Linked DNA regions of Oryctolagus cuniculus. The protein of the gene in region 2 interacts with the protein of the main gene of each other region in a pairwise test. Links are inferred from orthologs where the notes say so. Each region holds a gene or a part of one and is shown on either strand. Other genes may lie near its edges.

Region 1 (2,557 bases), on a different chromosome or scaffold from region 2:
GTCTTGGGCCATCCTCCAGTGCCCTCCCAGGCCATAGCAGAGAGCCAGATTGGAAGAGGAGCAGCTGGGACTAAAACCAGCACCCATATGGGATACCAGTGCTTCAGGCCAGGGCTTTAATACTCTGTGCCACAACGTCAACCCCTACCTGTAGTTTGAGTAATAAAAATATCTGAGGCCTCCAAAAGTTTGGTCAGTTTACTCACCTCATTGATTTTTTTTTAAAGATTTCTTTATTTATTTGAAAGGCAGAGTTACAGAGAGGCAGAGGAAGAGAGAGATAGGTCTTCCTCTGCTGGTTCACTCCCCAAATGGCCACAATGGTTGGAGCTGAGCCGATCCTAAGCCAGGAGCCAGGAGATTCTTCCAGCTCTCCCACATGGGAGCAGGGGCCCAAGGATTTGGGCCATCTTCTCCAGCTTTCCCAGGCCATAGCAGAGAGCTGGATCGGAAGTGGAGCAACTGGGACTCAAACCGGCGTCCATATGGGATGCCTGCCCTGCAGGTGGCAGCTTTACCCACTATGCCACAGTGCTGGCCCCTCACCTCATTGATTTTCAAAACCAATCTGTATAGATACATTGATAATTTCATAATGATTTCTTTAATATTTTAGAACCAAATAAATAATGAAACAAATCTAATATAGATTTAAATCAGAATCAATGCATTTATTGAGTAAAAATTTGTTTTTTCAAACAATAATGAGTAGTTATCCTATAACATAAATTTTATCTCCAATGAAGACTTTAGACTTTATTTTGAGTTAGTACACAAATTACAGATTTTCAGATGAAGTCTGTCAGCCAGGATTTGATGCCAGAGACAGGGTGAGAAACTGATAATCAGAAAATAGGAAGCTAAATAGGAAGACTATAACAATTATTAATAGAGGCATTAAAGACATTGGTCAATGGCGTTAGAAACTTAATAAGATGATCAACAGACGCCGGATCCAGACCAACAGGTTGGCTGGAAACAAGAAGACTGGCAGGTCCTAGAGGCTGAGCAGGATGGGCGGCAGAACCCAGATCCATAACCCAGTGAAGGAAAGCCATGGACTCTATAACCCAGGGGTCTGAAACCACTGGATCCGCAGCCTGAGGAGTGGCAGCTCCTTGGTCCACAGCTCAGGGAATAGGAGCTTCTAGATCCACAGCCCAGGGAGTTGCAGCTGCTGGATCCAAAGCCCTGAGACCCCGTGTAAATTGTCCTGCAGGGATTGCAGAGTGTGGAGGTCCTCCGGCGGTAGCAGGACGTCTGGCAGGGGCTGGACACCACATAGGAAGTCTGGCAGCTGGTGGGCTCACAGCCAGGCTCCTGACAGCCACTGTACAAAGAGGAGCCCGGCTGACATGTGCTGGGACATTGGAGTCCTGCACTGTAGAACGAGTTGTTTGGGTAGGAAGAGCCACAGGAAGACCTTGGGTAGCGCAGGTAGCCCCCAAAGGACTGAGAGAAGGAGTTTCCAGAGCAGCAGTTGTAGGGCATGGTGACTGGAGGTGGGAGAAGGTTCTGAGTTTGGATGTCACTTGTCACTGGGACATTTATATGCTCTCAGCAATGGGTGTGGCCCTTTACTTACAATGTCATCTTTTCCATAGTTAGACTCCCTCATTTGCATATACGTCACTCAGTAAAACTTCTTTGTAATTGCAGCAAACTAACACCCTTCATGTTGTATTTATGGGTGAACTCCTTTTGTTTTTACAGCTCTGTGTCAGTGAAATACACTTATGCTATAAATGCTATGACTGTATGTAATTAGTGTCTACTCCATCACAGCCAGGAAAGCCCCTGTTTTTTCCCAGGCTATGACATGTAAATCTGCTCCTGTTTGGGCTGGAGAATTCTTTCTTCCTAGGGTGAGGACTGTAAAGCAGCCATCTCCCTCTTGGTCCTTGACTGAGAGGAAGAAATCTGGTCTTAATAAGGAACCTTTTAAAGACTCCCTCACCATCAAAGCGTTGTTTCAAATCCTCCAATATAATTTCCATCTGTTACTTATCATCAGTGTTTACTATGTTTAGTCTAGATATGCCACATAAAACCAAGGCAAAGGAATTGAGAGATGACCAGGAATGAACAGCATCTTGCACAAACATATAGAACAAATTTACTATTCAGAAAAATGATGTGAAAACAAAAAAGAGAATGATATGGATGTAAGCATAGGGAAAAAATGTAGTAGATGTGATTTAGATGAGATAGGAAACAAGGAGCAATAGCAGAGGGAAAGGCAGGATTTTCCTGAGCCCAAACCCTGGGGATGGATGGTCCAACCTCATTTAAGTCTTCAAAACTGTTTTCTCTGGTTTAATATGGTTTGAGAATGCTCCCCAGGGGTTCTTGCGCTGGAAGCTCCATCTCCAGTGCAGCAGTTGGGAGGTGGAGGAAACGTTGATAAGGGTGTGCTAGTGGAAGATCATTGCGGGTGCTGTCTTTGGAAGTTCTTGTAGGACCCTGATTAGTTCTCATGAAAGTAAAGTGTTATAAAAAGAGCAAGACTGGCTCCTTTCCCGTCTCTGATTCTCTGCCCCTCGTGTGGTCACTCACA
Region 2 (3,753 bases):
CTTTTCTTTTCCAACCGTCTGCAAAGTAACTAAAAAGTTTTAAGTCTCTTCCAACATTAACAACCCAGAACCCTATATTCAAAACTATAAATATTTTCAATTGAGAGTTTTACACTCGCTGCTGTCAACTTCCAGGAAGTATAACCCATTACCTACAAGTGGGATCATTTCTTTTTGTTCTGTCTGTAAAGCTGCAGACCCAACTCGGGATGTAGGGAGAGAGTACCTGCCGTGGGCAAGGCATCTTTCCTTGGGGAATACAGACTTCCCCCAGCTGGAAGGGGGATACAGCCGGCACCCCAAGAACCCGCGAGCTAGGAAATGAGTTTTGAACTGGAAAGGCCGCGGCCACTTGGCACCAGAAAAAACTGGAGGGAGCTGCGGACTTTTGCGTTTGTGTCTAATGTAGACCGACGGTAGTCGAGTCACGAAGTCGTCAGACGGCACTTGTCGCGGGCCCGCCACCTCTGTAACCTGAGGCATACACCTAAGACGCCACCCTGCACCTGACGACCCGGACTCCGCGCAGGGCGAGGGCGCAGGTCCCCAGCCCGATGGGGCAGTGCGTCGGGGGAGCGCGGGCGGCGTGGGCCTCCGTCCCGCGAGGAGGGGGTCCACTCAGCACAGCAGCGCCCACCGAGCAGAGGCGAGGGAGGGGGCCGCTGCAGGCGGGGTCGTCGGCGGGGAGGCCAGCCCCGGGTGGGTGATAAAGGATCCTTCGGGCTTTGTTTAGTAACACGCCAGGCCCTGCTCTCCCGAGAAACCAATTAGATCCCCGCTGCGGGATCATCTGACCTGCGTCCCCCACCCGCAGGGGGCTCGGAAGGGGCGGGGCTAGGCGGGGCCGGGCCGGCGACTCCTCGGGAACGCGGCCGCGGGTGGTGCGGGGGAGTCCCGAGCGCTGGACCCGGACCTGGGCCCGCCCCTCGGCAGAGGCCCCGCCCCACGCAGGCCCCGCCCCCGGGGCTTCCCGGGCGCGCGCCGCCCCGCCGTGTCCGCGCGCCACGCCCCCCTGCTCGCGGGCCGCGTGCGGAGCCGCGCGCCCCGTAGGCTCTGGGACCGTGGCGGCGGGCGGCGGCGGCGGCGGCGGCGGCGGCGGAGCAGCCGTCCGCGGGCCATGTCTTCTCCGGCCGTGGCGAGGGGCTCTCCGGGAGGGAGTCGGGAGACGGCCCTCAGGCCCCGGAGCCGAGGCCGGTTTTGGGAAGTGGGCGGCGGCGGCGGCGGCGGCGGCGGCGGCGACCAGCTGGAGCGCGCGGCCGCGGAGTCGGAGCGCTGGGAGCTGCTGCTCCGCCGCGGCGAGCTGCTGGCGCTTGGCGGCCACCTGAAGGGAGCGCTGGAGGCGTACGCGGCGGCGCTGCGCCGGGGGGCCCCGGTCAGGCCCGAGTGCCTCGGCACCCTGGTGGACTGCCTGGTGTTCAACTACCGGCTCCGCCACGGGCTGGGCTGGAGCGCGGCCCCGGCTGCCGGCGCGGGTGCGGGCGGGCTGCTCAGCTGCCTGGGCTGCCGCGGCTTCCTCAGCGAGCCGGTGACGGTGCCCTGTGGCCATAGCTACTGCCGCCGCTGCCTGCGGAGAGAGCTCCGCGTCCGCTGCCGCCTCTGCCGGGACCGGCTGCCGCCCGCCGCCGTCGCCAGTGCCGCGGGTGCTGAGGGGACCGGCCCGCGGCCGCCGCCTCTGGCCGCCGCCATCGCGGCCTCGGACTTCAGAACCAGCGTCGTCCTCAACCACCTGGCCGAGAAGTGGTTCCCGGGTCAGCGCGAGCGAGCCCGGGCGGCCGGCCGGCTCGGGGAGCTGCTGCTTCAGGGGCGCTACCGGGAGGCCCTGGCCGCCGCCTGCGAGGCGCTGCGAGCAGGTGACGGCGCGGGGATGCGGCGCGGGCCCGACCGACCCCACCCTCCTTTCCCGGGCGGGCCGGGTACCCAGAGCGGGTCTGCGCCCTGGGGCAGGCTCGCCCTGCTTCCCCGGGGGCCGCTGGGCACTCGGCGTGCGGGATCTCGGGGTGCTCGAGGGTGTGGGAGGGGGCGGCGCCCGGGGTGCTTCGGTCACAATGGGGATCGCCCTGGGAGCCCACTGTGACGCGGCGCGGGGAGGGGCGCGCGGGCGCGGGGTTCCCTCGGCCGCGGCCTGGCGCTCGGGCGCGCGCGCGTGCGGCGCGGAGCTGCGGGCCCCCGGGCCGGAGGCCGCCCTGGCGCGGGATGGGTGGGAGCTGGGGGAGCCCGAGCGGCCGCCCGCTTCCTGCCGCGCTCTTTCCGGGAATTGGCGGCTCGGGCCCGGCAGGGCCGGGCCACCCCGGGGGTGGGAGACGACATCGCGGCGGGGCGGGGATCCCCAGCCGAGGTTGGGCGGGCTAGGTCTACCTTCCCGACCCGCAAAAGTCACCGGGGCAATTGGAAGCCGCGGGAGGGCAGAATTGCATAAGCTGGGGTGGAGGGGCGTTGTGTAACGGGTGACGTCCGGTGGGCGTGGCGGGAGCTCGGCGCCCGCACCCAGTGCCGCGAGGCCCCTCCGGCCGCGGTGGTCAGCTCCTACCTGGAAGTGCCCGCGGAGTGGGTGCATCTTGAGGCGTCCACCTGCTCTTCTCAGGTCACGCCGGTTTCATTGTGCTGACTCCGGAATACGCCCAGCCCAGGGCAGGGATGCAGAGGTAGTCTCTAACCCAGAGTTACCGCCTCGCTTCCGTTCGCCTTTCCACTTAAGATCGAGCCCAGGGGGAAAGGCCGTGTAGGGCTTTTGTCTCTTCCTTTGTCTCCAGGACGCACCCTCGGCTTCCCAACTTCAGTTAGCACTTTTCCCAAGGCGGTTTTACATTGTGCCAGACGCGCCTGTAAAACTTCCGTTAGAAAAAATGAAGTTCTTGGATCAGTTCTTTTACTAGGGGGGGGGTTTCACTACCCCCTCCCCAAGGACATTATCCAGGGCAACATATCTGGCAGTGTCTAGGGACATTTTTGGTCCCCACCTCTTGTAGGCGTGATGCTGGTCCCGGCACTGTGGGCACTGTGCGGCTGACCTGCCACCGCCAAGAATGCAGGCCCCAGACGACCATCAGTGGCACTGTGGGCGACACTTGTATGAAGTGGATTGCAAGATTTTCATGTCGCTGTGTTGGCAGGAAATAATGCTTGGGGGAAATAATCCCCAAGGAAATAGACATGAAATATTAAACTGACTTTGGGTGTTAGGTAAGTTTAGACACTGTGGAACTGAAAATACCCTCCTGTGGGTGCTTAGTCATATTGAACCAGTGACAGTGTCTTGAGTTATTTAGAACCTTCAGAGTTCACAGCACAAACTTGCCATGTTTTTGAGGCCTTTTAGTGTGTCTGTGGAGGAGGCAGTTGTAAAATATGGTAATAGTCTCAGAACAAAAGGAAAATAATTGGGTATTAAATTCTGATACACCTGACTGCCTCTTGTGGGCAAATAAGCCAGAATTGGCTGGATAGAACACCTATCACAGACCATGTGAGAAAGCAAGGGCTGGAGCAGTGCAGTGACTTGCCCCAGTCACACAGCTGGCTGCTTGGAGAGGCAGCTGTGTGTCCCTTTCTAAAGTGGGCCTTGTGTTCATCTGGTCTTTATAGGTCATCCACTCAAGTGCTCATGCACATTTCCCAGGAGGGTTTTCTATCACTAGTATAAAATAGAGGATAAAACTCACCAACAGCACTATTCAGTATCTACGCCTGACATGGTGATATGACATTCTTTTAAATTAGGTTCTTTATAAGCTTTGAGGTCCTATTCCTTGGAAG

Evidence for each region.
Region 1: the proteins of LONRF1 (region 2) and keratin-associated protein 13-1 interact in a two-hybrid assay, tested with the Homo sapiens proteins (2 studies listed by BioGRID). The two-hybrid records come from large-scale screens. The link is inferred for Oryctolagus cuniculus from reciprocal best matches to the Homo sapiens genes LONRF1 and KRTAP13-1.

The regions. Positions count from the first base shown.
Region 1 is NC_091435.1:14,994,474-14,997,030, forward strand, and holds keratin-associated protein 13-1, read right to left. Parts: upstream 1,521-2,557; 5' UTR 1,492-1,520; coding exon 940-1,491; 3' UTR 639-939; downstream 1-638. UniProt on the Homo sapiens protein: In the hair cortex, hair keratin intermediate filaments are embedded in an interfilamentous matrix, consisting of hair keratin-associated proteins (KRTAP), which are essential for the formation of a rigid and resistant hair shaft through their extensive disulfide bond cross-linking with abundant cysteine residues of hair keratins.
Region 2 is NC_091433.1:77,989,632-77,993,384, forward strand, and holds the start of LONRF1 (LON peptidase N-terminal domain and RING finger protein 1), read left to right. Parts: upstream 1-1,010; 5' UTR 1,011-1,117; coding exon 1,118-1,850; intron 1,851-3,753.